Linked DNA regions of Tamandua tetradactyla. The protein of the gene in region 3 binds, or shares a complex with, the protein of the main gene of each other region. Links are inferred from orthologs where the notes say so. Each region holds a gene or a part of one and is shown on either strand. Other genes may lie near its edges.

The links.
Region 1: PFDN6 (region 3) and ASDURF share a complex: the UniProt entries of both Homo sapiens proteins name them as parts of the PAQosome complex. The link is inferred for Tamandua tetradactyla from reciprocal best matches to the Homo sapiens genes PFDN6 and ASDURF.
Region 2: PFDN6 (region 3) and PDRG1 share a complex: the UniProt entries of both Homo sapiens proteins name them as parts of the PAQosome complex. The link is inferred for Tamandua tetradactyla from reciprocal best matches to the Homo sapiens genes PFDN6 and PDRG1.
Region 4: PFDN6 (region 3) and DNAAF10 share a complex: the UniProt entries of both Homo sapiens proteins name them as parts of the PAQosome complex. The link is inferred for Tamandua tetradactyla from reciprocal best matches to the Homo sapiens genes PFDN6 and DNAAF10.

The regions. Positions count from the first base shown.
Region 1 is NC_135329.1:163,382,136-163,390,251, reverse strand, and holds the start of ASDURF (ASDURF protein), read right to left. Parts: upstream 3,088-8,116; 5' UTR 2,969-3,087; coding exon 2,882-2,968; intron 1,035-2,881; coding exon 981-1,034; intron 1-980.
Region 2 is NC_135327.1:21,176,736-21,184,391, reverse strand, and holds the start of PDRG1 (p53 and DNA damage-regulated protein 1), read right to left. Parts: upstream 3,499-7,656; 5' UTR 3,372-3,498; coding exon 3,273-3,371; intron 1,937-3,272; coding exon 1,861-1,936; intron 812-1,860; coding exon 737-811; intron 1-736. UniProt on the Homo sapiens protein: May play a role in chaperone-mediated protein folding.
Region 3 is NC_135331.1:89,218,891-89,226,187, forward strand, and holds PFDN6 (prefoldin subunit 6), read left to right. Parts: upstream 1-4,839; 5' UTR 4,840-5,156; intron 5,157-5,377; 5' UTR 5,378-5,392; coding exon 5,393-5,456; intron 5,457-5,713; coding exon 5,714-5,784; intron 5,785-5,862; coding exon 5,863-5,987; intron 5,988-6,219; coding exon 6,220-6,349; 3' UTR 6,350-6,602; downstream 6,603-7,297. Other genes in the region: WDR46 (WD repeat-containing protein 46), read right to left, coding at 1,638-1,737, 1,929-2,064, 2,187-2,337, 3,074-3,178, 3,447-3,508, 3,663-3,750, 3,873-3,985, 4,123-4,203 and 2 more. UniProt on the Homo sapiens protein: Binds specifically to cytosolic chaperonin (c-CPN) and transfers target proteins to it. Binds to nascent polypeptide chain and promotes folding in an environment in which there are many competing pathways for nonnative proteins.
Region 4 is NC_135343.1:41,450,490-41,458,229, forward strand, and holds the start of DNAAF10 (dynein axonemal assembly factor 10), read right to left. Parts: upstream 3,086-7,740; 5' UTR 2,751-3,085; coding exon 2,568-2,750; intron 1-2,567. Other genes in the region: RNA-binding protein PNO1, read left to right, coding at 3,266-3,460, 3,696-3,845. UniProt on the Homo sapiens protein: Key assembly factor specifically required for the stability of axonemal dynein heavy chains in cytoplasm.

The DNA.
Region 1 (8,116 bases), on a different chromosome or scaffold from region 3:
ATATATTAGCAAAATCAACTCAACATTATATTAAAAGAATCATACACTGTAATCAAGTGGGCTTTATGCCACGTATGCAAGGGTGGTCCAGCATAAGAAAATCAGTTATTGTAATAAACCATACTAATGAATAAAGGAAGAAAACCACATGATCATTTCAATTGACATAGACAAGGCATTTGACAAAATACAGTGTACTTTCTTGATAAAAACACTTAGAACACTTAGAAGGAAACTTTCCCAACACGATAAAGGACATAGATGCTGAGTGACATAAGCCAGACACAAAAAACACAAAAGGGCAAATACTGTGTGATCTCACTGTTTTGAAACCATTAGAATAAGCAAACTCATAGAAACTAGAATATAGGTTACCAGGGAATGGCATAGGGATTGGGAATGGGAAATTAGACTTACAAATGTACAGGGTTGAAATGATGGAAATGTTTTGGCAATATATGGCACAACATTGTGAATCACAAGTAACAGCACTGAAATATATATCTGAATATGACTTAAAGAGGAAATGTTAAGATTGTATATATGGTAATAGAATAAAAAATTAAAAACAAAATTCAAGGAACTACACTAACACAGTGAACCATGAGTTAAACCATGGGCTTTAATAAAAATCATAAAAACTATAAATAAATACCATTAATGATTGCAACTACACCATACCAAAGTACAACTAGTATTGTTTGGTCCATATGGGGAAAAGCCATGCTCAATTATTTGATACCTATAAAATTTAACATAAAAAAATAGAGGTATGTAAATACATATTAAAATAATCTTGAACTCTTCATAATTTGAACCATTTTCACTTTTGCAATTTATTAGCTAAAAGCTATTGCACTCTTGCAAATTTTAATATAAATAAGACATATATCATACATTAACAGGAATACAAATAATATAGTTAATTTAAACATAAATAAACCTTCCCATATACTATTCATAATTACCTAATTACTCACCCTGTTCTTCTTCAAGTTAGAAAGTTCATCCACAATAACTTTTTGTTCTTTTATCTATTGAAATAAAGAAAAACTCCTTTAAGCAGAGGTTCACAAAGCATGTTCAATGAGGCTCCTTTACTGACTTTTAAAATTAGAGAGATGGATAAGGGAATATTAAGTATTGACGGTCAAAATCAGTTATCTGCGAATACACAACTTCTATCCAACAGCCTTCTGTGAGGTAGTGGAGTTGGGGTAAAGTTGAAGGAGAAAGTAGCAACTGGACTTGTCAAACCCATTGCACCCAGTCACAGGGTGACTGTGGGGTTGGGTGGGGAGGTCCGAACTGCTACAGTTACTAAACAAAGTTTACGACTACTATTTAAAAAAATATGATACTCACCAGAAATGATATCACTCTTTAAATTAATTATTTTTAAGTTGTGCTTTACCTTCTTAAAATAAAACAGCAAGTGGAATGAGGGTGGACCACTTCTTTTTTTTCAGTTACTAGCACTTTATAATTTATGCACGAATTGATTCCGTCAGACATTCAGAACAAACAAGTAGTACTAAACGCCCTACTGTGGCAATGAGACCTACTCCCAGTGGTGGTTTATCCATCTGTGTATCTGAAAGATTGGACAGTTCAAACTGGCCTTGCTGAACTAGGCTTCTCTTTTATTAGTAGAAGGTTCTACTAAGGGAAAATTTAGTTTTTCCCAACTTTTTTCAGAAACTTATTTTGTCAACATAACTGACTAAAAAGTATCACTAGCACCTCTAAGAGCCCCTTTGACCATCTTTTTTCTTACCTCACACTTGAAGGATCTGCCATGCATCAGTCTAAGTGGCTCACTCTGGTAGTAACATAGTTTGGAAAAGCCACCCCTTCCCAACTTCCCTCCACGTGTGCATCCTTGTGTCTCCAGTCACAGATCTAGTAACTGCCTGGTTAGGTTGAACTCCAAGCCTGAATTCATATTACCTCTTTGAAATGAATACGTATTAACAATACCTTACGTTTGAACACTGAATTTTAGGAATGGCAGGTTACATTTCACTTTACTTCTAACATGGAAATCATGAATCCAGGTGATTAAAGAAGCTTGCTCATTGTTAGAGACAGACCCGCAGTAGAATCTAGGACATTTAGCACCTGAAAAGCTATAGCCACCCCTCTTCCCCATATATTCTTTGAAAATTTTGTTTATGGCACAAAAGCTTTTCGTTTTTTAAAAAAATATATACTGAACTCCCCACCATCCACCATTTTGATGGATGAGTGACAATCAGATATGTATTTTAGGGGTTATTCCGCTGGCTACCAGTGGAGATTTTAAAAGGTATAACGATGGGAAGAAACCGGCTATGAAGCCTTTGTAGGCATCTCTGATGACAGATAATGGTGGCTAATCTGGGTTGGTAACGGTACAGATCTTGAAAGAAATACATAAAATGAGCTTCAGAGGTAGAACAGATGACTTCGTGATGGTTCCCAAGTTACCTGGCATAGACAACGGGGTGGATGTTGGTGACATTTCCTGGGATGGAGATTACTGGAGGCGGATCAGATCTGGGGTGGGCGGTACTTAAAGGAAAGAGAAAACCAAACAAAATATCCACCTCTCTTCCATCTAGCTATAACTCTAGGGCGTGTTTCAGAGTATCCTTTGCCGCAACTGTTTTAAGGAAAGGGAAGGATTAACTGAAGCTGTAAAATGCTATGAATAAAAAGAGCAGAACAGTGGGCAAAGCCGAGGCTGGATGAAATTCCGTGCTGCCCGGTACGGACTAACTAAACGGAACCGGGGGTTTCCGCCTGAGCAAGGCGCCAAAGGTCCGCGACGGACTATTTTCAGGGTTCGGCGGCACCTAGTCCTGAGTTCGGGGGCCTTCTCGTTGCGTCCCACACTGACCTTGCAGCTAAGCTCCTCTTTGTGCGGGGTCGAGGTGTCTGGTACCACTCTAGCACGGTCATCCGGGAACGTCCCCCGGCTGGGCATCTCCACCAAAAGGCCGAGCCTCAAAATGACCAACTCGGCTAGAGCCCCGGCACCCCACCGTCTGAGCGCGTGCGCGATTCAGCGGCTCCACCTCCCCCCTTCCGTTTCCCGTGAACCCCTCCGACGGCGTCTGCGCACTCATCGGAAGGCCTGCGCAGTTCCGTTTGGCCTGGGAGTAGTACTGCGCGTGCGCCCAACTGCGTTGGTACGCGCGAGCCAGCCTGGTTGTGAATCCTGAGAAGTTCCTAGAGGGTCCCCTAGCGGATGGGATGGAGAAACGCGTTTGTGGTCTCTGCTTGCGCCCAGTACACTGCGAGTTATAAGCGTCGCCCAGTGGTAAATATAAAAATAGCAGTGCAGAAGAAATTCATTTACCATTTGTTACCTAATAGGGTAATTGAGGGACAGATATAAGGGTCACAGAATTGACGGTGGAAATGAACAAACTTGATAAAGTTTTTATTAACTTATTAGTAGGGTTACCAGATTAAATATGGAATTCCCAGTTAAATTTGAATCTCAGATAAACGAATAATTTTATGTATATGCCCAATGCAGTATTTCCAGTATTTCATTCCTGCGAGAAAAATTATCCAAAACTTGGAAATAAGCAAATATAAATTACTGAGTGTTCTTTTTGTGCTGTTCCGGGTTTGACGGAACTGCTTAACAATTCTGTAAGGGCAGAGATTAATTTGTAGATTTTTATCCATGAAAGTAACTTGTGCTTGATGGACATAATAGGTTATGATTTATTGTTATGTAAAATAATTAGCTTTGTATATAGCCCTGTAATCTTATTTTAGCATTTCTTTATTAATATATATAGTTTTTCAAATGCTCTTTAAACTTGTTATAACATCTTTTTAGTTTTCTCGTTAACAAATGAGTTAAATAAAACTTTATATCTGTTCATTTTATACTTGCAGGAGGGACAAGATTTTAGTTTCGAAAATTATATTTAACATCGAAAGTTCTCAGTTTCACAGAGATGCCCAAGTGGACTCACTTGATGGAGTCAAATAAAGGGCATCACTCAAGATGTGCGCCTCATGGGTTAAGTCCAGGCATGTCTCTTGTTGGCTTTTAGAGTAAATCCCAAGTGGTTACAGAACCACTTTATGATTTTTTCTTTCTACTTATTTTTAAAATTCTGTTTTTCATTCTCATTTGTGCATGGCTGATAAATTACTCCACATTGACAGCTGGGTTTTGTGGTCTGACAATTTAGTGATAACAGCTGGATGATTGTGATCTGTTCTCTAGTAGAAAAGAGATCACAGAGGATCCAGTTTGTTAGTCTTTTTGTTTAATTTGTCTGTGCAAGCTCAAATTAATTAAGAATTTTGTGCCCACTGGGGAGAAGAACAGTTGTTTGTGATCTGGGCTGGTGAATTTTCATACTTCTTTGTGTTGCTGTGGGGTTTTTTTGTGCCAAAACTTGGTCTGTGTTTATTTTTTTACCCAAGTTTGAGTTTGTAAAGCTGAAGATATAAATTCTCTTTGTGTCTGTGTGTCTAAAATTTAGCAAAACATTATCTCATTTTGTGAATATAAAATGTTTTCCTCTCCTGGGGTAATTGATAATGTCTCAAAGGAGCTCTGTCCTATTGGTTTATAGAAATAAATATGCACTTATGTTAGTCCCCAAAGTAACAGAAAATAAAAAACTGAACTTCTAACACCTTAAATATTTAAGAAGAAAAATGTTCTTGTTACAAAAACTTCCAGGTGGGTGCACGGGTGGTTCGATAGAATACTCACCTTCCGTGCGAAAGACCTGGGTTTAATTCCCAGACCATGCGCACACACACACCCCACTCCACAAAAAAAAAGCTTCCAGGTCAGAAACCTTCAAAGAATCTAAGTTCAAATAATTAAGGTGAATCTTTGGACAAACCAGACTGGTTTAATAATTTTAATTTTGAAAGAAAAAGCAACTACATTTCTTTTCTCTGATTTGTCAATATTAAGTAAAGCACAGATGCATGTTTCAAGAGATTTAGATTTGTTTTCTCATGAAGATGTTAGTTAACTTAAATTTCCTAAACTTCTGATACAGGCCTACTGATCAAATAAACGAGCATTACTCCAATATTATGTTTAAGATTATTAAAAATGTGTACTTATATTTAACTAAAATGAATAAGTCTTCTAACAAACGTTTTTCTATCAACAGCAATTATGTTTTGTACTATGTCAGTTTAAACACGATTTTGAGTTCTTAAGGTAGCTTGAAACTCTGAAATATTATTAAAATGAGTTAATGAGTAATCACTAGATAGTAAGAATTTCAAAAACAGAATACTGAAACATTAATTACTAAGTTAATTTAAAATTTATATACTATTGCTTCTTGTTTTTATGTGCAATAGAGTGGCTTTAGTTTTGGGTCATGTTAATGTTGTGCTCATTTTTGCCATTTTAAGAAGGTGTGTGTGACTACAGACAGTTGTTTTATGTGTATTTATGAGCTTTGCTTGTCTGCTAAAATGCCTGTATAAGGCAGTTCTCAATTATCTACCTTTACCTCTCTCTGTGAAATAGAAGTTATTAAATTGATTAAAAGTTATAATTAATATGGCTGGTTAAGGCTACAACTAGAGCTTAGAGTAACAGAGAATTCAGAGTAATGGGATGAAGTCTTGACTTACAGTGATGAGAGTAGTTTTGCCTAATGTGAAGCATCAGTTTGTTCCAGAATAAGAGCACAGTTGAAAGACAAAATTCGAATGAGCATAAGCAAGTTGGAGAAGGTTTGATGAAAGGAAATTTTATTTGCCTTGATTTGTAATACCTGTCTCTGAGGAAAAACTATGAAATACATTAAATTTTGGAAAAGTCCATTCAATTTTTATTTTTAAAAACCTTTACTGCTAAAAAATAATATTAATGGAAAAAACCCTAAAATCTGGCATTCTCTCTCTTAATCCATCTCCCGATTCTACACCCTAAATTCTTTAGGGTTCATTATGATTAAACTGGGAAGAACCAAGAAATGAACCTTCCTGACACGTGGGATGCCATTTTAACTAGTGTTTTGGAGGTAATGGTGATGCTTATCTGTAAAGCTGAAAAGAATGAGTGTCCTAGTGTATGAGATGAGTTTTCTCTGTACCCCACCTTCCATTGCAATGCTTGGCAGAGCAGGAACTCTGGTTAATGTTTGAATTGACTCTTTGACCCACAATCATGTCAATACCGAGTGACCAGGAACACAGCTATTTGATGTGCAGCTGTTCTAGTCCCCTTTTTGGTGTGAGTTGTTGCTTATGGCGCTGCCTGCTTCTGATGTTTCCATTTATTCACAGAGATGACACAAATCTAATCAAAGTAGTAACAATTATATTAGTATGATGCTAAACTCTTTTTAGAGTGACTTTACATTTTGTTTTATTTTCCCGAGTTTATCTGATTGCTGCTATTTTCTTCTCAGCTACTGTAACTCTTCTATCACATGAAGTCACGCTTTAGGGTTAGTTGGTGTCATTTGTCATGACTGGTTCAGGATTCCTATCCACAGCTCAATACACAACTAGCTAGGCTGTTCTTTCATGTGTCTCTCACTTAGGACCATTGCTGTCATAGGTCCTTCTATTAATTTCATGTTTATTAGTTTTATTTCTACTCTTCCTCTGATGCTACATTTTTAATATATTTAATTCTGTTTAAAAATTTCTCTTGGGCGGGCCGCGGTGGCTCAGCGGGCAAAGTGCTTGCCTGCTATGCCGGAGGACCTCGGTTCGATTCCCGGCCCCAGCCCATGTAACAAAAAACGGAAAAACAAAATACAATAAAACAAGAAAATGTTTAAAAAAAAAAAAAAAAAAAAAAAAAATTTCTCTTGACTATTTTATAAAAGTGACATGTATTAGCCTGACTTCCGAGAGTCTCTGTGAATTAGCCCTCCACCCACTGTTCATCCTTGCTTTCTCATTCTACTCCAACAGAGAAATTTGTCTCTAGCCAAAGGAGATGTGGTATAGAGCAGAGGTTCTCATATGCCAGTCAGTAGGTGAATGCCTTTCTTATTATATAAAATCACCTGAAAGTCTTATTAAATTACATACAAATTTCTCTGTTTTTATCTATGATCTACTGAATCAAAATCTTTGGAGATGGGATCTGATGTCTGCAGCATAGCCTACTGCTTTCCATTTACTATGCAATAAAAATACTTGGGTTTGAATCTTGGTTTCTTTATTTGTCAGCTGTATGACCCTGAGTAAATCACTTAATCATTCAAGACCCAGTTGTCTATCTGTATAATAGGAGTAATAATAGTGCCCACTTCGAAGGACTGTTATGAGGATTAAATGAGTTAATGTTTTTAGGGTGTTTATAACAGTTTCAGGTTCAGAGTAAGCACTATTTAATACATAGTAAATAGATAAATCAGAAGTTCCCCCAGTTGACTTTGACACAGCTTGGTGCATTTCTCGTTGATGACAGGTCCTCAACAACTTCCAGTGATTCTCAACAAGGCTAGTGCTGTACATAGATGATGCTTTGGAAAATAATGTGAAGGCACTTTTGATTGTCACAATGATTGGATGGTCATTTTAATTCTGATGGCATAGTAAACCCATTTAATTCTGGTGGCATAGGCACTGAAACACATTTGAAGAGGGACAGACCAAGCCACGGGTGCTTTTATGAAGCCTAGCCTGTCAGATAAAGGGTAGTCTCAGCAAGCAAGCAGTGTTGAAAATTGTGTGGGGTGGGATTGAGGGTGGGTTCTAGACCCAAACAACAAAAAGTTGAAATCAAGGAAGAGATGATATTGCAATATAAGTAGGTTATTTTCTTCAGGAGTTCTCTCAAGTGACAGAGCCCAGGAAACTGGACTGTTGTTTCTCAGTGGGGTTCTAATATCTTGTAGGTGGACTACAGAGTCTTTATCACATAGGTGTTGGGGGGACGAGGTAGAAACTTAGTCCTGGTAACAAAGTGGGTAAAGCTAGTCTTGGTACCTAAAGGGGAGTAAATGACTCTCCAACTTCTGGGCTAGCACTGGAAAGTAAATCCTTTCTGATTGAAGTAAGATTAGTTCTGAAGTTGGAATATAGAGATCAGTCACTGTTGGTCCTGTAGAAAACATTGCTTTGGGGTTCTTGTGCAGGGCAGGGACTAAGTGAGGCAAGTAAG
Region 2 (7,656 bases), on a different chromosome or scaffold from region 3:
TTGGGGAGATGGAAAGTTTTAGTAATAGAAAGTGATGAGGGTATTGCAACATTATAAATATGAGTAATCCCACTGAATGGTATGCTTGGGAGTGGCTGAGATGGGAAACTTTATGTAATATATATGTTCATACACACACACAAAAGGATCAACTAAAGAGACAATGGCAATTAAATCCAATATGTGATCCCAGATGGGAGCCAACAGAGAGGGGAGGAGGCTCAAAAAGACAGTATTGGAACAAATGAAAGACATGAAAAAAAGACTGTAAGCTTTATAACAATGTTACATTTACTGAATTTGTTAACTGCATTTGAGGTGGTTGCATAAGTGAATATTCTTGTTCTTTGGAAATGTATATGAAGTACTAAGTATTCAAGGAGCATGATATATACTATCTACACTTGAGTGTTCAGAAAATGGATTGGTAGACAAATTGACAAAATGATATGGCAAATCTGACAAAATGTTAGGGAGATCTGGGAATCTAAGAGGGTGGTGGTATGATGTACTCTGTATGGGGTTTATGTTAATTTTGTAATTTTCCTGTAAGTTTGAAAGTTTTTCAAAATGAAAAGTTTAAAAAGTTTTTTAAAAAGGCAACCTATATCAGGCTGAACCTGTAACACAGCTGCCTCCCATTAAGCTGCCCAGAGCCTGACTCTTCAATTCTGGGCTACAACCAAGACTGACAGGAGGGCAGCTATGTTCCTGACCCATCCCCAGGACATCTTACCTTTCTCAATCATTTCTTTCGTCTGAGGGTGAGACATCTTGATAAACATACTCCCGAAGCAAACCATCACATCTTCTGAAATGGCAAATGGTCATTTCTTCAACAAGTATTTTTTGAGCACCTACTACCTGCCATGTTTTTTACATGCTAAAAACAGGAGAACCTGACAACATTCTTGTCCTCAAATAGCTTATGTCATAGTGAAGGAAAAAGAAAAGGCTCTTATAAGTGCTGTAGAAAAAAATGAAGCGGGGTAAGAGGTATAGGAAATGCCAGAGTAGAGAAGGGACTTGATACTTATACTGTGTGGTCTGAGAAGGCCTCACTGATTATGTGATATCTGGCCAGAGACCCAAAGGAAGTGAGGGTGTGAGCCCTGCACACATACGGGGGAAGAGTGAACCTGCAAAGGGAACAGGAACAGCAGGGAGTCTAGTATGGTTGGAGTCAATGAGTGAGGGGGAGTGTAGAGATGATGTTAGATCTTGGGGGCTGGACTATGTGAGGCCTTGCAGGACTCTAGACTTTACTTTTATGAGGCACAACTAGAAGGTTTTATACTTTCTGCTGCACTTTAAACAAAACTCAAACTTCTTCCCTTGGCCCCAACACCCTTCGTTACAGCTGGCCTCCGCCCATCTGTCTAGTCTCTCATCTCATGTCCCTTTCCCCTTGCTTATTCTACCACAGCCACTCTAACCCAATCTCTTTAACCCTCAATCCCTTGCGGATTTTCTCAACATCTAACCCATGTCCAATTCCTTTCTTTACTTTCTCACAATTGTCTATTGTGTATTTTATGTGGTTTTACTCACGTGTTAGTGCACAAAGGCAGGAACCACATCATTTTAATACGTTCCCAGCACTTCTGGGAGTGTCTGCCATCACTGAGTCAGGAGCCAACAGCTTGTCACTAAGAAAAGCAGCTGAAATCCCGAGCTCCAGTCTGTGTCAGACCCTGTAACATTTTCTCCCCTATCCTCACGGCCTGTATTAATTCCCCATAAAGCTGAAGAATCATATGTCTGTGGCCTCCTGCCTGGTCTCTATCATGGATAAGGCAAGGACCTTACAAGGAAAACCGAACTGACCTCCAGGACCACAATGAGGAAACTGCAACTTACCAGAGACGCTAAGATCCTTCTGCAGGGCCCTCAGGGCTTCGCGGTTCTGATTCCTTTTAGTATCCAGGTCCACAATCTAAAAAGCAGGGGCAAGGGGCTACTTAGCCACCTCTTGTTCCAACCCTGTCACGTCCCAACAGACCAGGGGCTAGAGAGATGGTAAGACGTCATTCCTTGGTTTCTTTCAACAACCTGTGTGATACTGATGTGTGAACATGTTTCTTCTCCCACTCAGCTTCCCGGTTCTTAAAGACAATACTGTAAGCACATATCTTCCCCTGAGAAGTTGCTGGGAAATGTCTGCTGACTAAATGGATAATTTGTACCATCCACTGGAACATCAGCTCTCAAACTGTATGTCAGAATCACTAGGGGAACATGTTTAAAATGCTCATGCACAAACCTGTCTCCTAGACACTAGGATGAAGCAGGTCCAAGAATCTACTTTTGAACAAGCTCTAATAGCTGACTCTGACCTAACATGCAAAAATCCAACAATGCCAGACTTGGACAACAGGGGTGGAGGCACTGAGACGGTAACAGCATAAGAGCTGCTACAGAAGCGAGGAGGCAGTACAGAAGGCTGCTTGTGACCACTGGCTCTGGAGCCAGAATACCTGGATTTGAATCCTGCTGTTCCCTACCAGTGCTGTTTCCTTCTCTGAAAAACGGAGATGTGAAAGTACCAACCTCACAGGTTACTGAACCAGGAACTAAATGAGTTAGTTAGTACAGTGCCTGATATATAGTAGGCCCTTAATAAACTTTAACTTCTGCTATTATCATCCACATGGTGATACAGTATTTAATTTATCAGGCTCTTCCCCAAGTCTTCCTCTTCTCAGTAAATAATGGCCAACCATCCAATCATTCTAAAGGGAGATGAGAGAGACTCATGTCATTTTGGCCCTGCCTCCCATTCACTCACCTCTATATGTAAACACCATCCTGTCCTACTGAGTCCATCTCCAATTTATATTTCCCACCCTTTCACTTCTCTCCATCACCAGCACTCTGGTCCAAACCCACCTCTGCCTGGACCATAGCAATGGTCCCTCGCTTCTTCCTGCCTCCACCTTTGCCCCTCTATATTCCATATATTCTATATTCACTGCAGCCAGAGGGCTCCTTTTAAAACCTAAATCCAGTTGCGACCTACCCCCACCGCTTACGAACTCCCTAAGCAGGTCCACAGGGCCCTTTGTCAGAAGGCCACTCAAGCCTCTCTTCTGTTCCTCGTCTCTCCTTAAGGCCTTGACTGGTGTGGGGCACCCTAGATCACCAGTCCAGGTCAACTCACAGCGAACCCGTGGTAGAGCTAGATGCCGGCCCCACACGGCTCTGTATACGGCGCTCGCCGCCAGGCCCCAATTATCTCCCCCAGGTCCCAACGCCACGGACGGGCCTCCCACCTGCCGCTTGTCCGCCATCACTTCCTCGGCGAGCTCCTCCACCTCGACCAGGTACTGCAACACCCGCTCCGCCTCCGGTGACAGCACGGCGCCCGCCATCTCCAGGTCCGCAGCAACGCAGCTGTGAACTCCTTCTGGCTCCGTTCGGAATGTGCGGCCTAAGGATCCCTCAGACAGGCCTTCCAGCGCGCAGGCGCAATGAAAGGAGGGTCGCCGGTGCGCAGGCTCCTGCGCAGGCTCGCTTCTGCGCACGCGCGTCAGCGCGTAGGCCCGCTTGCTAGTGCGGGGCGGGGCATCACGTGGGGGCGGGGCTGGAGCTCGCCTCGTAGGCTCCTTGAGTGCCTTTCGCAGCTGGGTGTTGACCCCGTTTCTCTCTTTTCAGATATTTCTTAAGTGCGTCCTTTAGTGGCAGATACTGGTATTCTGGGTGAGCAGTGAACAAAACGAAGCCCTTTCCCTCATGGAACTTCATCCTCCTTGGAAACGCCGCCGACAAAAATTATATGCTACGGCAGGCAATGATAAGGGCTTCAGAGAAACGTGAATCATTCTTCTCCTGTTTGAGCAACACCAAGGAACCCCGAGTGGCATTGTGGCTTTTTTGTGTGTGTGATCATTCCATTCTACATATATAATCAGTAATTAACAATATCATCACATAGTTGCATATTCATCATCATGATCATTTCTTAGAACATTTGCATCAATTCAGAAAAAGAAATAAAAAGACAACAGAAAAATAAAAACAAAAAAAATTATACATACCATACCCCTTACCCCTCCCTTTCATTGATCACTAGCATTTCAAACCAAATTTATTTTAACATTTGTTCCCCTTATTATTTATTTTTATTCCATATGTTCTACTCATCTGTCGACAAGGTAGATATCAGACACAAGGTTTTCACAATCACACAGTCACATTGGGAAAGCTATATCATTATACAATCATCATCAAGAAACATGGCTACTGGAACACAGCTCTACATTTTCAGGTGGTTCCCGCCAGCCTCTCCATTTCCTCTTGGATAACAAGGTGATATCTACTTAATGCAGAAGAACAACCTCCAGGATAACTTCTCTGTTCTGTTTGGAATCTCTCAGCCATTGACACTTTGTCTCATTTCATTCTTCCCCCTTTTGGTGGAGAGGGTTTTACCAATCCCTCGATGCTGGGTCTCAGCTCATTCTAGGGTTTTTCTCAATCCCTTGATGCTGAGTCTCAGCTCATTCCAGGATTTCTGTCTCACGTTGCCAGGAAGGTCCACACCCCTGGGAGTCATGTCCCATGTAGACAGGGGGAGGGTGGTGAGTTTGCTTGTTGTGTTGGCTGGAGAGAGAGGCCACATCTGAGCAACAAAAGAGGTTCTCTTGGGGGTGACTCTTAAGCCTAATTTTAAGTAGGCTTGACCTATCCTTTGTGGGGTTAAGTTTCATATGAACAAACCCCAAGACTGGGGGCTCAGCTGATAGCTTTGGTTGTCCACACTGCTTGTGAGAATATCAAGAATTCAACTTGAGGAGATTGAATTTTCCCCTGTTCTCACCATTCCCCAAAGGGGACTTTGCAAATACTTTCCCGCTCACTGATCAAATCACTCTGGGATTCATCAGGGCATCACTATAGACAAACCAACAAAATCTCATGTCCTACCCAAGGTTCCATGTACTTATGTTGTTCAACCAAGCTATCTACATAAGTTATATTAGGAAATGCACTAGTCAAAATATAAATTTTGTACCAAATAAACATTTTTTGCTTTAGTCTCACACATAAGTTGAAATTTTAAAATATTAATTACCATCTATTTTCAGCACACTGCAGTAATGACATTCCTTTGTTCTTCCTCATGCAAAAACATTTTTTAGTATTTGTACATTTAGTCACTATCATTATACACTCTAGGCATTCCTAGATTATACCATCTCAATCTTTATCATCTATCTTTCTTTGTGATTTCATTTATGCTCCCAGCCCTCCTCTCTCTATCATTCTCACATACAGCTTCATTCAGTGTTTTAACATAATTGTATTACAGTTAGGTAGTATTGTGCTGTCCATTTCTGAGTTTTTACATTCAGTCCTGTTGCACAATCTGTATCCCTTCAGCTCCAATTACCCAATATCTTACCCTATTTCTATCTCCTGATGGTCTCTGTTACCAATTAAATTCTCCAAGTTTATTCATCATGTCAGATCATATCAGTGAGACCATACAGTATTTGTCCTTTTGTTTCTGGCTAATCACACTCAGCATTATGTCCTTAAGGTGCATCCATGTTGTTACATACTTCATAACTTTATTCTGTCTTACAGCTGCATAATATTCCATCGTATGTATATACCACAGTTTGTTTAGCCACCTGTCTGTTGATGGACATTTTGGCTGTTTCCATCTCTTGGTAATTGTTAATAATGCTGCTATAAACATTGGTGTGTAAATGTCTGTTTGTGTCCTTGGCCTCGTGTCCTTTGAGTAGAGACAGCATATAGATGGGTCCTGTTTTTTAATCCGTTCTGCCAGTCTATGTCTTTTGATTGGGGAGTTTAATCCATTAACATTTAGTGTTATTACTGCACAGGTAGTACTTTCTTCTACTATTTTGCCTTCTGGATTTATATGTCCTATCTAATCTTCCTTCTTTTTACCTTTACTCATAGTCTTTCTTACCACACTCTTCTCCACACCTCTCTCTTCTGTCTTCGTATCTGTCTCTAGTGCTCCCTTTAGTATTTCTTGCAGAGCTGGTCTCTTGGTCACAAATTCTCTCAGTGACTTTTTGTCTGAGAATGTTTTAATTTCTCCCTCATTTTTGAAGGACAATTTTTCTGAATATAGAATTCTTGGTTGGCAGTTTTTCTCTTTTAATAATTAAAATATATCATCCCACTGTCTTCTCACCTCCATGGTTTCTGTTGAGAGATCTGTGCATAGTCTTATTGGGCTTCCCTTGTATGTGATGGATTGCTTTTCTCTTGCTGCTTTCAAGATTCTCTCTTTCTCTTTGACCTCTGACATTCTGATTTGTAAGTGTCTTGGAGTACATCTATTTGGATCTATTCTCTTTGGGGTACGCTGCACTTCTTGGATCTGTAATTTTAAGTCTTTCATAAGAGTTGGGAAATTTTCAGTGATAATTTCCTCCATTAGTTTTTCTCCTCCTTTTCCCTTCTTTTCTCCTTCTGGGATACCCACAACACGTATATTTGTGTGCTTCATATTGCCCTTCAATTCCCTGAGTCCCTGCTCATATTTTTCCATTTTTTACCTATATTTACTTTTTCTTGTCGGATTTCAGATGTTCCATCCTCCAGTTCACTAATCCTATGTTCTGCCTCTTGAAATCTACCATTGTAGGTTTCCATTGTTTTTTTTCCATCTCTTCTACTGTGCCTTTCATTCCCATAAGCTCTGTGATTTGTTTTTTCAGACTTTTGATTTCTTCTTTTTGTTCATTCCTTGCCTTCTTTATATCCTCCCTCAATTCATTGATTTGGTTTTTGATGAGGTTTTCCATGTCTGTTCGTATATTCTGAATTAATTGTGTCAGCTCCTGTATGTCCTTTGAATTGTTGGTTTGTTCCTTTGACTGGGCCATATCTTCAATTTTCCTAGTGTGATTTGTTATTTTTTGCTGGCATCTAAGCATTTAATTACCTTAATTAGTTTATTCTGGAGATTGCTTTCACTTCTTTTACCTAGGGTTTTCTTGCTGGATGAATTTGTTGTCTCTCTGTTCTTTGACATTCAATTCAGCTTTTTCTGGACCTCTAGCTTAGGTTTTGTTTAAAAGAGGAGAATTTTTCAGTTCTTGTTTTCTTGTTTCTTGCCCTGCTTGTATGGTGCCTCCCCCCCTACCCCAGGAGGGTTTTTGTAGGTATTATAGACCCCAAGTGGATTTTCCCAGACCAAACTGGCCTCCTATCAGGAGGAAAGAGTCACCTGCATCGGTTTTCCCTGAGGATGAGACCCAGCAGGTTGAAAGACTTTTCTGTGAAGTCTCTGGGCTCTGTTTTTCTTATCCTGCCCAGTATGTGATGCTTGTCTGCCTGCAGGTCCCACCACCATTAGATGATGCAGTACCTTTAACTTTGGCTGGGGACGTGGTGGAGACAGAGGAGAGGTTGGAGTCTGGTTTTAATGGCTTCAAATTACCAAGCCCTGGTGTCTGAATTCCTTGAGGGAGGGATTCCACCTGAGTTGGGCTTCACCCCTCCCCTGGGGAAGGCACAGGCTCCAGACAAGCCCCCAAAAGAGCTCACTTCTGCCTATGGCTGGGGCAGTTGCAGCCTGAGAAGTCCTGCTGCTATATCCAAAGGCAGTCAAGCTTTTGTAGATACACAGCCACAAAAACCTCTGTTTCCTTTTTTTTTTTTCTTTTT
Region 3 (7,297 bases):
TGGAACTCAGCATCAAGGGATTGAGAAAATCTTCTCAACCAAAAGGAAGAAGAGCTAAATGAGACAAAATAAAGTATCAGTGGCTGAGAGATTCCAAATGAGTCGAGAGGTTATCCTGGAGGTTATTCTTATGCATTAAATAGATATCACCTTGTTAGTCAAGATGTAATGGAGAGGCTGGAGGGAACTGCCTGAAAATGTGGAGCTATGCTCTAGTGGCCACGTTTCTTGAAGATAATTGCATGATGATATGGCTGTCGCAGTGTGATTGTGTGGTTATGAGAGCCTTGCGTCTGATGCTCCTTTTGTCTACCTTATTGATGGACAATTAAAACATATGGATTAAAAATAAATAAATAATAGGGGGAACAAATGTTAAAATAAATTTAGCAGATTGAAATGCTGGTGATCAGTGAAGGGGAGAGATAAGGGGTAGGGTATGCATTAATTTTTTTGTTTTATTTTTATTTCTTTTTCTGAATTGATACAGATGTTCTAAGAAATGATCATGATGATGATTATACAACTATGTGATGACAGTGTGAGTTACTGATTATATAACAAGAACTGAATGATCATATAAGAATGTTTGTGTCTGTATGTGGTTATGTATCATAAATAAAAAACAAGTTTAAAAAATTTAAAAAAAAAGAAAGTAAAAAGACGACCCATGGAATGGGAGAAAATATTTGTAAATCTGGTAAGAGACTTGTATACAGAATTTATAAAGAATTCTTACAACTCAACAATAAAAAAACAAATAATCAAATTAAAAAAAAAAATGAGGGGGAAAAAGAGGAAGCCTTTTGGAAAGAGAGACAGAGTCTTGAGAGAGCCACAAGGTCAAGAGCCCAGGTAGCCAGAGACCTCTGGAGATATAGGAAAACACCCCTAGGGGAGCTTCATGAAACAAGAAGCCTGGAGAGAAAGCTAGCAGACATCACCATTTTTGCCATGTGACTTTCCAGTTGAAAGGGAAACCCTGAACTTCATTGGCCTTTCTTGAGTGAAGGCAACCTCTTTTTGGCACCTTAATTTGGACATTCTTATAGATTTGCTTTAATTTGGACATTTCCACAGCCTTAGAATTGTAAACTAACAACTTATTAAACTCCCCCTTTTAAAAGCCATTCTGTTTCTGGTAATTGCATTTCAGCACCTAGCAAACTAAACAACCTGTATTACAAAGGTTAAGTGATTATCATATCTTGTATTCCATTGCTTGAAAATTTGTCACAATTTCTTTTCTTTCTTATTATTTAAATTTCTGCATATTACTCTCAATTTTGCCTACTAACCTACAAAACATAAAATATTTACCATCTGGGGTGGGTCACGGTGGCTCAGCAGGCAAGAATGCTTGCCTGCCATGCCAGAGGACCCGGTTCAATTCCCGGTGCCTGCCCATGTAAAAAAAAATTAAATTAAAAATAAAAAAAATTTTAAAAAAATATTTACCATCTGGCCCTTTCTGAAGTTCGCTTTTCTGTACCCGCAGTAACATGCTGCAAGTGGTAACACCAGGAATTAAACCCAAGCAATCTGTCTGCAGGGTCTGTGCTAAAAAGGCACATTCACTTCCTTACCCATGACCCCATCTGTGACCCCAGTATTTCATCCCCAAACAAGTGACTTACGTGCCTGTAGAATCTACTGTCACAGCCCGGACCCCACCACGGTGACAAAGAATCTTAGCCAGTGGTTCCTTCATGGCTGGACTCCATAAGGACACAGTACCTGAAAGTCACAGGAGCACAGCTAAAGTTACAGGTGAGGCGCTGAGGTTATTAAATCTAGGAAAAGTGGATACTCAAACCAAGAAGTACAAGACAAAAAGGTAAAAGTACAAGTTAAGGGACTTGTCAAGTATAAATACAGAAGAAAAACAAGTGAGAATAGCCAGAGTCAAAGCTAAGCCACGGACTGACCATTGCTGTGTCCAAGATGAATGATGGCATTGTAAGGGTTCTGAGTCATGATGTCAAGCCGTCCAGCCCGAGCATTTAAAGCTGCCACTATCTTCCCCACTGACACATCCAGGTAGGTCAGAAACCCTGTTTCTGACTGTAAAAGAGAGAAAGAATAACTGGTCCTGATTGCGCTCTGTCTTCCCCCAACCCCAGTCCCAAATGGGGCAGGATCCTGTCAAGGGCTGCCAACCCGGTTCTTATGCTCCAGCCACTCACAGCTGTGGCCAGTAGGAAGTGGAAGGGCAGGAACTCAAGCCGTGTGACGCGGTCACAGCGGCGGATGCAGTGGAGCTCGATGCCCTGGTTATCATAGATGTGAAGCCAGCGGTTCTGAGCAACAGCAAGCAGTGCCTCCGAGTGCAAAAATCTGATAGGTGATTCAGTGGGAAAACAGATCACAGACTGTCATTAAAAAAGGAATGGGGCTCTGGCACTGAGGGATTGACAATGCCTTCTGGACTAAAAGAGGAAAAAGAAATTTAACAAAATAAGGCATCAATGGCTAAGAGAGTTCAAATGGAGTCAAGAGGCTATTCTGGAGGCTACGCTTATGTAAGCCTCAGTGAGATAGTGCTCATTGTCATGGTCTGCCATACCCCAACAAACATCATTCCTATTAACCCTAAAGAACACTTAGGACTAGAGGGTTCGTAGGCCAGATAAGTCCTGAAACCCAGAGGGGTCAGCCTTCCAGAATGTCAACTAGTTCCATCCCCCTCCCATATTATCAACAGCCCCTTCCCACATGAAAAAGTTAGAATGGGCATAGCCCAAATACCCCTAAACATTGGGAGAAAGATCAAGGGAGAGAAAGAGTTATAACAGAAAAGATAGGCTTTAACAATGAGTACGATTGCTGAGTCACTATAATGATATTTATTTTAGCTTCCAGTGTTTTAAAGCAGCTAGAAGGAAAAACCTGAAAATGGGGAATTGCAACCTATACCAAACTTTGAAATCTGTTCTTCAAAGTTAAAACGTGCTTTGAAAATTATGGCTTTTTTTATAATTATTGTATATTTTACAGTAAAAAATGTTTTAAAAAACTTTTTAGAGGGATGGGGTGTCTCAGTCCCCATAAGCACTTATAGGAGGTCACTAACCGGATGTCCCGCACAGCCTCCATGACATTGATCTCACACATGAGCTTCTTTGTCACCCAGTCAAGGGCAGCCACATGACCCCGACGACCTCCGAAAGCCAAGTGTCTATTAGAAATGGGGAACAGGCAGGGTGTCAGTGTAGGAAAACACTGTGACTCAGACAATTCGAGGTCTGCCCCCAGGCCAGCTCTTCCTCTCCAAGTGAGAGGACAGATGTTGTTCAAGAGGGTCCACTCATATCTAGGCAAATCACAGGATCCTCCCTTCATCAACAACCCCAACATACACTGGATTGTTTGCTGAGGTGGGCACAACTGCAGTTTAGCAGACACTACCACATCTCAGTTCAAGAGTCCCTGGAATTCAACATTACCTCCCAGTTCGAGAGTAGTTCAGCCTATAGGGTCCAAACTGCCGCAGATTCAAGTCAAAGTGCTGCAAAGAGGAAGAGTTAAAAAATAAAATAAAATAAAATAAAAAGTCAACAGAGAACTAGCTCATTTCATCAACTCCCTCTTCTATTTCTCATATCCCTCTTGCTCTGAACAACCAATCAGTTTTGTGGCCCCTGCCCCAGGCTCAGGCTAACCTTGGCTGCACTGGCAATGTCCACAGCCTCCACAATGTCAGCCTGACGTATCTTGGCCGTGTCTTCTCCATCTTCCCCTTCCAGAAACCTGCAAAAAGGGTTATTGCAAAAAAAATCTTCTTAAGATGAAGCGGACATACCCACATAGAAATGAGAAAGAGGAGCCCCATAAAGCAAGGGCTGGGAATGCCCAGATCAGGGTCTACTCACCCAGGCTCCTCAGCAAGCAGCAGCTCAGAACGAGCAGCTCTGACACTTGCTTCCTCTTCTTCAGCTTCAGCGACCTCAAGTCTGTTTCGGGTTTTGGATTTAGCATGTAGTAACTATATCATTGGGAGAGCAAGGGTTGGGGGCAAAAAAATAGTGGACATGTGGAGGGGGTCACAGGAGAATCACCTGGCCCCACCTCCATCCAACCTCCCTGTCTCCAACCCCTCCCCACTCCCCGGCTAAGTCTCACCTTTTTGGATCTGTCAATACGACGGAACTTCTGGGTCGCTTCCACAGGGACGGGAGAAGGGCCTGGGAATGGGTCCTGGGCCTGGAGTAAAAAGGAGGAGACTAGCTAACAAGCTCGAGTTGACCTCAACCTTCGCACTCTCAAGGCACAAGATGCCTTGCCCTGCCACCCTATCAGGCCTCAGTCTCACCCCAGACAAGCTCCGTTCAGGCTCCGGATTCCTCCGAACCCGAGGCTTCTTGGTGACCCGAGACTTCTTTAGAATATGAGTCTTCTTTGGCTTCTGGGGGCGGAGATCCCTCTTTCTCTTCTTGCGACGAGGGGGCCCTGGAGAAACTCCGGCAGTAGTCGAAGCCACGTCTTCTCCCTCCCAGTATCGCCGAGGTTTCTGCCGGCAGATCAGAGGCCCTAAGGCTCCGCTGCCCGCTTCCCCGACCCGCCCCCTCCATCCCCTCCATCACCCCGCAATTAAACACTTTCCTTCCCGCCCCAAGGGGGTCTCTACCTTCTTCTGGACCTGAATTTTGTTCTTGTTGGGCGGAACATCCCCACCCGGCTTGGGGGCCGTCTCCATCAAGACCACAATGTTGATGACCCACGTGCAAACTCGGTTCAGCCGTCCCACTGTAGGCTTAGAAACTCCCGGAAGTCCTCTGGCCTTCACCCAATCAGGGCCGCGTCAGGTCTGAGGCCCTCTCGGCGCCATGTTGAAAGAGGGCGCCCTTTCTCCTGATGGGCGGGGCAGGCCTTGGCACCGCCTTCCAGAACAGCGGCTTTTGCCAGAGTAATGATGCCCTTGCGAAAGAAAAAGAGCCAAATCCAGGGCCAGAGCCGAAGTAACGGTGTAGTTTGGTTTCCAGGCTTTGTTTTCCCATCTTTTCCAAATCCTTCCGAGTGCGGACTTTTTAGGAGTGCGCTAGCGTTAAACGTGTCAGGACTACATTTCCCGGCTTGAATCAGAAGGCCACTTCCGGCACGCTCTTGACGCGGGTTGCCACAATTACTTCCGGGTTTAGTAATACTGAAGGGAGAACGTGAGTAGGGCAGGGCTTGGGCTGAGGGGTTTGGGGCTCTCATCTCTCCATAGCCCCTGCCCCGGGGCCTGGGTAGAACCGATATCCCAACCGGGAGAAACTGCGGTTTCCCGGCGGGCTGTCTCTCAAAAGTGCTGTAGTTTCCTCCGACCAGGCCAGCAAGGGGAGCTCGGGTGCCTTTCGGCGTGTGAAACCTAGTGCCCCTCTCCTGCTCCCCTCAGGTCTTCGACCCAGCTATGGCTGAGCTGATCCAAAAGAAACTACAGGGAGAAGTGGAGAAATATCAACAGCTACAGAAGGGTAAGGGAGCAGGGTTGGTGTGGCCCCGCCCCAATCCCTTCACTCACCCACAACCCAAAGCCATAATGAAGGTAAAGTCTTCTGTCCCACCGGGCCCCGCGTGCAGCCTCTTCCCTACCTCATTACTATCCTCCACCCGCTGACCCACGGCTCCCATCCTTGTCTACTTCGTCTGTTCTCTTCTGATTTTGGTTGTGGGGGGCGGGTAACACATTTGATGTCTCTAATCACATCTTTCCTCCCACCCCACCCCTCAGACTTGAGTAAGTCCATGTCAGGGCGACAGAAACTTGAGGCACAGCTGACAGAAAATAATATCGTGAAGGAGGTGAGGGCTTGGGATTTTGTGGGGTGAGGAGGGACCTGTTCTGACGGTGGTTCTGATGGTATATGTCCACTCCTTCAGGAACTGGCCCTGCTGGATGGATCCAACGTGGTCTTTAAACTTCTTGGTCCTGTGTTGGTCAAACAAGAGCTCGGGGAGGCCCAAGCCACAGTAGGGAAGAGGCTGGACTATATTACCGCTGAAATGTGAGTCTTTGCTTCACTTCCCTGTAATGTAACCAGTACCATTAGAGTAGAGTTGTTTTGGAAACACTGTAGAGCAGCTTTCCATAGAGGTGCCCAGTTGTCCAATTTTCTCATCCCGCTCCTCCCCTAGTTCTCAGCTTTTCCACCAATCTCTTTCTTGCCTTCAGCACCATCGCTACTAAGTCCCACTAATTTCTCATTTTCTGATCTTAGTTTCCTTTGTCTCCCTCAGTAAACGATATGAATCCCAACTCCGAGACCTTGAGCGGCAGTCAGAGCAACAGAGGGAGACGCTTGCTCAGCTGCAGCAGGAGTTCCAGCGGGCCCAGGCAGCAAAGGCAGGGGCTCCTGAGAAGGCCTGACCTCTTGGTGGGGGGGAGGGGAGGGGAGGGAGTGAGGCAGCTCTAGGATCTATACTGTAACTAATAAAATGTGAAAATACTGGCTCTGTTTTCTGACAATCTACTTCTGTCATGATTCTCTCCATCCGTTTTTCCACCCCTTCCACCTTGTACAACACCTGCAGTACTCCTGTAGGTCCAGATTCTAGAGTCTGTGTGGCAGGGTATCCTTTTGTCATTAAAGTCAGGAATGTCTTAAGCAAACGTGCATTTTGTCTGTATATACAACCCTGAACTCTCCCTTATCTTGGTTGACACAACTGTTTTGAAAACATAGGAATGGCATTTGTAATGCAGCTATTGTTGGGAATACCAATTTAGTTGAAGAAGTCGTGGTTATCTTAATCTGAGACCCCAAGGTGAACTGCAGTTACCCTCCTTCTAGTGAACCCTTGTCATCCTCTAAATTGCCCTGGCATCTCTTTTAGATCTTTTCAACCTCTGTGTTCCCAGAATTTACTGGAATGTAGTTTGAGCTAATTTAAAATTCCAGCACAAAATGCCTTACAGTATTATAATTCCTCTAAGCTGTGCAATGTCCACAATTTTTTTTTTTTTTTTACAAATTATAGCTAAGGGAGTTCCTGATACTGAGTGCTTTAATTTGATGACTACTACTTGACCTGGGTCTGATACCTGAGGAAGAAAACTTTAAAAGCAATAAAGGGAATGGGAATGGAGATGTTGCTGGAGAGGAATAAACCATTCTGAGGAATCCATTTAACCAACACTTCACTCTTAGTTCTTCAAGGGGATTGAAAACATCAGGCCCCTTCCTGTTCCATGGCTCCTACGTTCAACCAACTCCCCATCCCACCCCCGGCTGCCAGATCACACACACCAAAAGGACCAGGGATAGAGACTCTGATCAAGACGGTGGAGTGAGAGGCTTCAGGGCTCCTTCCCATC
Region 4 (7,740 bases), on a different chromosome or scaffold from region 3:
ATGAATTTCAACCCCACTTGGAGAAGCAAACTGCTCACCCATATGTGAAAGCCCTGCTCTCTAGTCCCTATTTACCCTCTTACCAACAAGAAAAGGAAGATGTCAATAAAAGACTGATGGCTTTCTTCACGTTTTTATCTCTTATTCATGGGCCTTTGAGCAAATGATTGGAGGAAGTTCCTCAATAATCAAATCAAGTATGTTTCATACTATATTTATAAAATATTCATTGATCCCAATGGTTTTCACCTCTGGTACTCATTAAAATCCCTTGGGAGGAGCTTAAAAAAGACTGACGTCCAGGCCTCCATCTAGTCTAGATTCACTGAGGCAGAATTTCTAGGAGGGGCGGGGACCAAGGCATGAAAACTTTAAAATACAAAAACCACAGCAACAAAACACGTTCAGGTGGGCCTGATGTGCAGTGAGGGTCGAGAATCACCGAGACTGTATTTCACCCATATTCTTTTCCATTGGACTAACATGCCAAATTCAACGTAAGTTCTTAGCTGTGTTTTTGTTATGTTTTACCATCTTTTGAGCCTCTAGGCTCCTTAGAGGAAGGGGGTCATCTTTCAAATACCTTTGGTCGTTCCTTAGAACTAACTGTGTCTTGGATTAGCAGATTCTCTATGGATAGTTTATGGTAGAAAAAAAGACCTCTAAGGATACAGGTGAAATTTAAAAGTGGCTATTTTTGTGGTTGAGATTGTGGGTAACATTAAATTTCTGCTTAATCCTATCTATATTTTCTAAATATCCTATCACGAACATATTTTACTCTTGTTATAAAGCAAGCTTGCTAAAAAACAAACAAAACAAATTTGCTAGAATTCTCTACAATCTCTACAAAAAAGAAAGAGCGGTATTTCAATCTATGAGTAAGTGTATTTCTGAAATGTGTACAAATTTTCTTATTGAAAAGCAGAAGTCTGCAGATTCTCTGTGGTTCAGCTTCAACTGGCATCTGTTCCTAAAACTTCAGCTTTATGTTTTTCTCTGCTATTCCAATGCTTCCCATTTGTTCAACCCCGAACAATATTTAATAAACCAATATTGGAAATTTCCCAAGTTATATCCTATTTACAGACATACATTCACTCATTCTTTTAACAAATATTTATTGAGTGGCTACCTCTTACAAACCACACTTAAGAAGACACTGACCTTACTCCTTAGGAGCTTACAATCTAGAGATAAAAAGGACAGAACATATATTCCTGGCACACATAAAACGTACTTTAGGAAAACAACAAAAAGGAAAGTTCATTCGTGTGACGCTCAGGAAAAGTTTCCTTTTAAGTCATGTAATCGGAATTGAATGTTACAATAGCAACAGGTGACTGAAGACCAAATGGTAAACAACATAAGCAAAGGTGGAAAAGTACAGGCCATGCCTAGGCATTCTAAATAGACTGCCTGGCTTGAGAAGACAAACTGAACAATAACACAGGCAATTACAGAAATTTAACGTGGATGGAGCCTTATATATCTTCTAATCTAACCTTGCCTATCTAAATTGTGTTCATACTTTAATATAGGTTGAACCCCCATCTCTTCCAAGTATCCATGGAGTTCTCAATCTTTACTGCCTTTGTATAGAACCCTAACCACCTGATTATACCTGATCACTTTTTTCAGGCAATCCAAATCGTCATTTTTTAATTTGCAAAGAGTGATAAAAATTTGTTATCCACCATTATTCTCTAATTCTTTCACTAGTATTCATTACAAAACATATGAATCTGATTTTGCCACATTCTGCTTGATGTCCCATTTCTCTTAAGAGTAAAGGCATAAATCCTTTAAATGGCCTATAAATATTGCAAGGTCTGGTCCCTGCGACCTTCTTTTGCTTCTTAAAACTCTCTCCCACCACTGGGCTTCTGTTTCTTCTGAAAACCTCCTTTTCCACTCCCAGTTTGGCCTATTAACAACTTCTACTTGTCCCAAATCTGTTTTTACTTTCATAAAACCGTTGCATTTTATGCATCTTTGATTATTTAACCGATTATCACCCTCACTAGAAAAGAAACTCCATGAGATCGAGGACCTTGCTAATCACTTGCCGGCGGATACCAGATAATCAATTAATACTTGTTGAAAGAATGAATAGATGTGTTAGGTTGAATGCTTCAACTACTGTAGGCTTCCTGGGGGAAGGGGCCGCTGTGGCTATGCTTGTATGAAAAAGCAATATACTAACAAGGGCTTCGCAACGGACTCTCCAGAACAACTGCCAAATGCCCCTTAAGGCCTCGAACTTATACAAGAATTCCTAACTTCGCTTCCCAGAGGCCTCGCGCTGGACTGCGCCGAGGGTGCTGGAAGAAGGGGCCTGCAGGGCGCGGATGAAATGGCCCGCGGATGAGAATTCAGGACTCGAACGAAAGAATTTTAACACTGAAGCATTCCTCAGTCTGCGGTTAGCTTCGCAAGTCCCGCGCAGCTCGAGCTGTATTTTGGGGGGACGCTGGACGAAGGCTTTAAGCAAAGAGGGATGCAGACCTCAGGATCGGCACTCGCCCCCCAAGGGCAGACCTGGGCAGTCTCCACCCGGCACCCACCTCCCGAAGCAGCTTCAGGTCTCCGTGCTGGATCTCGTACAGCTGAATGACGCCGGTACCCCGTGGGAAGTTGCCCAGCGTCACAAATTTGGCGCTGCAGGGCACCCATTTACAGTCAAACACCGTGTAGTTGAGGCTTTTCTGGATGTGAGAGATGATCTGAGGCTTCTCAAAGGCCGACATGGCCGAGCAGATTTCACTTACAGCAACGGCCACCCCCGACTCTTAAGAAAAAACTAACCTGGCTGGCAGACGCCAAACTTAACTAGTTTGTCCCCCCCCGCTTGCCGTACCTCGCTCCCTAACGTCCTAGGAAGTTGGATTTAGTTATCCAACAAAATGCCAGATGTGCTACCGAGATCACACAAGATTCTCTTTCACCAACGGCATTAACTTGTTTATCGTCGTTACTTACTGACGTTCGCACATATACATATTAGATACTACAAGGTATTTTGGCTGTAGGTTATGCAGCAGTAGTGTGGGCATTAAGAATTAGGCATATTTTAGGATAGGTCCTTCAAAAAAAAATACCGCTTCAGGTCCTCTACGTGGGCCTTCTTAAGGCAGGGGGTGGAGCCTTAGGCCTGGTCGGCAGTGGCTGGATCCTCGGAGGTACGCCTGCGCAGTGGGGCGGCGCACGTGTTTCAACTGGAACAGCCTGCCTGCCCTGCACATATCTGAGGGTGGAAACCAAGATGGAGGCACAGAGCGCTGGGGTGGAGAATGGCTTCACCCAGGTCACCCGCAAGAGTGGCCGGCGGGTGAAGAAACGACAGGCTGAGCAGCTTTCTGTGGCGGAGGACGGCGGGGACCCGGGACGCATGGACACAGAGGAGTCCCGGCCCGCGAAGAGGCCCGTCTTCCCGCCCCTCTCTGGGGACGGGCTCCTGGTACTGGAGGGGGCTGTGGGACTGGAGCGAGGCTGCGGCCAGTGGCCGGTGAAGCCGGTGGCCTGTGGGTGATGTTGAAGCTGCGGGGGCTCTTCTGGTGTGAGAGCTCCTCGTAGAGAAATGACTGCCGAAGTTTAACTCGTTCGGTTAAAAGATTTTTGTGAATCATCTGTCATTTTACAACTCCATTCTCACCCTCCAGACGACTCCTGAGTTGTGTGTTCTTTCATTGTAGGGTGGAAAAGAAGAAACTAGGAAAATTCCAGTACCAGCTAACAGATATACGCCGTTAAAAGAAAACTGGATGAAGATATTTACGCCTGTTGTAGAGCATTTGGGACTTCAGATACGCTTTAATTTGAAATCGAGGAATGTAGAAATCAGGGTAAGGAGAATGTCAATTATTTACAAATAGACTAGGGTTTCTCCTACAGGAATCAAGGATGAATAGACTTTTCTTAATAGAACTTACTTTAAGTGGTTTTCCTCTAGTTTTAATATTTTTATTGAGAAATATCCATACACATATAGGCCAACCGTATTATGCAATATATGATATATAGTTGTGTATTCATTACCATGGTCATTTTTAGAACATTTGCATCACTCCAAAAAAAGAAATAAAAACATAAGATAGCTCCTACATCCTGTACCCCTTACCTCTCCCTCTCTTTGACCCACAGTATTTCAGTGTACCCAGTTTTTACCCTTTAACTACCCGTAGTTGTTTATTTTTATCCTTATTTTTTTACTCATCTGTCCATACCCTGGATAAAAGGAGCGTCACACGCAAGGCTTTTACAATTACACAGTCACATGGTAAAAGTTATGTAGTTATACAGTCTTCTCCAAGAATCAAGGCTACTGAAACACTGTTCAACAATTTCAGATACTTCTCTCTAACCACTTGAATACACCATGAACTAGAAGGGGTATCTGTATAATGCATAAGAATAACCTCCAGGATAACCTCTCAACTCTGCTTGAAATCTCTTAGCCTCTGAGATTTTATTTTGTCTCGTTTCACTCTTCCCCCTTTTGGTCAAGAAGCCTTTCTCATTCTATTGATGCTGGATCCTTGCTCATCCCTGGAAGTCAGGTCCCGTGTTGCCAGGGAGATTTACATCCCTGGGAATTATGTCCCACATAGCGGGGAGGACATTGAGTTCACCTGCCGAATTGACTTAGGTATAATTCTCAGTAGGCTTAGCTTCTCCTTTGCAGAAATAAGCTTCATAGGGGCAAGCCCTAAGATTGAGAGCTCAGCTTATTGAATTATTTGTCTCCACTGCAGAAATTCCCCAGAGGGGGATGTTAAGTATTTCCTGCTTTCTCCCCAATACTTTTTTTTTTTTTTGCATGGGCAGGCACCAGGAATTGAACCCAGGTCTCCAGCTTGTCTATAGGTGAGGACTGTGCCTGCTGAGCCACAGTGGCCTGTTCTGCAAATACTTTTTTATTCTCTGCCCAATTTACTCTGGGATATATCCAGGTATCACACTAACCTGTGCAAACCAGCAAGATCTTCCAACACCCTATTCAAGATTCCATGTAATTATGGTGTTCAAGTAAACTGACCATAAAATTTTAATTAGTTGATATGCTACCCAAAACACAAATTTTGTACCAAATAAAAATCTCTCCCTTTGGTCTCACACAGAGGTTGAAATTTGAAAATATGGGCCATATCATCCTTTACCCAGTATTCTGTTTACCTTAGTCCTATCCAGATCAGCTTCATTCGTATCTCTAGACAAAGTCTGATCTCTTTTTTCACAGTTGCCGAATGGGGTAATGACTTTCATAACTTCAGTGCTCTCTCTCTCAGGTATCACATAAATACCCAGAGTTTCAGGGTATGACCAGGTTATATACAAATAGCTCAGTATCTGAAAATTTAAAAATATCAGTTACAGCTCCGAAATACATGTGACTGCTTTAAGAGTTTACAATCTAGGAACCTTTGCAATAGGCCCCAACCTGATAATCTGTGCTCTCAACTTCAGTTCTCTGTATTTGTTCATCCGTAAGAGTGAGGCATGATAATATTTGCCTTTTTGTTTCTGACATTTTATTTGACATACTGTCCTTAAGATTCATTCACCTAGTTGCATGCCTCACAACTTCATTTCTTCTTGCAGCGCTCAGTAGTCCTCAGTTGTCTGTTGTATATAAACACCACAGTCCATCCTTCCATTCCTCATTTGTTGTATCCTTAGGCCATCTCCATGCATCACAAATGCCGAACACTGCCTCCATAAACACCAGTGTGCAAATGTCCATCCATGTCCCCACACTCAGTTTCTCTAAGATCATATAGCAACCCCACCCCTAGCCTCCTATGAAACCATCACACTGCCCTCCAAAAAAGCTGCACTTCTCAGCTTCCCTACCAGCGGTGAAGAGGTACATTTCTTTGTCCACATTTTCTCTAGCACTTGTTTTTCTCTGTTCATTTTTAAACAATTTTATTTGCACATCATACAATCCAGTCTAAGTAGATAGACATGCCTTTGCCACCATAATCTATATGAAGACATTTCCTTTTTGTTGCCACAGAATCCGTACTCCACCCCTATGCCCCTCACTGTTGACATTTAGTTTTGGCGTAATGCCTTTCTTACATTCAGTGAAAGCTTATTACAGTGTTACCGTTAACTATAGATCGTAGCTTGAATTGATTGTACCTTTTCTTATATATCATCCATTTTCAACCCTTGGCAATGATATTCATTTGTTCTCCCTGATTGTGCATATGTTTTATAGTATTGAATTGAGTTGAGAAAGGGCTGTGAGGAGAGGGTAGTCCTGAGCAAAAATATGTGAATAACATACATTGGTATAAGCAGTCATTTAGGTACTGGATGCATCAGTTTAGGCACTATATAAATGCTGTTTTCTTGGAAATAAAATGTATTCTCTTGAGAATAAATATAAATAAACATATGTTCATTCTATGGTGTCAGTCCAAGAGTTAGGCATTTAAAATTAATTGACTCTGGGCCTCTTTTTCTGGGTACCTATTTTGTATCAGAATTGATGACCAAAATTAATTATATCTTCTTTTTTGAGGATTCTTATGCCTTCATTATGATTAGTATAGACTTGTTCTAGTTTGCTAGCTGCCGGAATGCCATATGCCAGAGACAGGATGGCTTTTAAAAAGGGAAATTTAATAAGTTGCTAGTTTACAGTTCTAAGGCCGAGAAAATGTCCAATTAAAACAAGTCTATAGAATGTCCAGTCAAAGGCATCCAGGGAAAGATACCTTGGTTCAAGAAGGCCAATGAAGTTCAGGGCTTCTCTCTCAGCTGGAAGGGCACATGGTGAACATGGCATCATCTGCTAGCTTTCTCTCCTGGCTTCCTGTTTCATGAAGCTACCCGGGAGGCATTTTCCTTCTTCATCTCCAAAGGTCGTTGGCTGGTGGACTCTCTGCTTCATGGTGCTGCAGCATTCTCTGCTCTTTCTGAATCTCTCATTCTCCAAAATATTTCCTCTTTTATAGGACTCCAGTAAACCAATCAAGACCCACCCAAATGGGTGGAGACATGTCATCCCCTAATCTAGTTTAACAACCATTCTTGACTAAATCACATCATCCAGTGAGATGATCTGATTACAGTTTCAAACATACCATGTTGAATAGAGATTATTCTACCTTTACGAAATGATATTTTGATTAGAACATGGCTTTTCTAGGGGGCATACTTCCTTTCAAATCAGCAGAAGACTCATCTCTCTTGATAGACTATGATGAGGGAACAAAACAGAGAGACACCACTCTAAATAGTTGGTAAAGTTTAAAATGTTGTGAAACTTGACATAATGACTATTTGTTCCCATAGCTGCTCTCAGGTTTTTATTGTTTCTTGCCAACACTTCTTGTGTCCTTATTTCCTTTGCTTTGTTGCTTGGTCTCTTTTTCCTCAAATCCATACTCTATACCAGTGCCGGATTAATTTTCCCAGCTCATGCTGTTTTATAATGATGTCCTAATATCTGTTAATGTCTGTTAAAGACAAAGATTAACCAGAACCCACCTTTCAAGTAGTAGACTCCTGTCCCAAGTTGGTGTTACATTATCTCCTTGAATGTTTCTGTGCCCATACTTCAGGGTGACTTTGACCTCTGAAGAAGGTTCTCTCTGTATTTCCTTCTTACTTCAGTCCTTGTATCCCTCAAGGTCTAGCTCAACTTCTTCCTTTTTTGTAATTGTTCTGTTTTTCAGTTATTTTTTCAGTGCCTAGCTTTTGTTGTGATTGTTATCTTATGTGTTT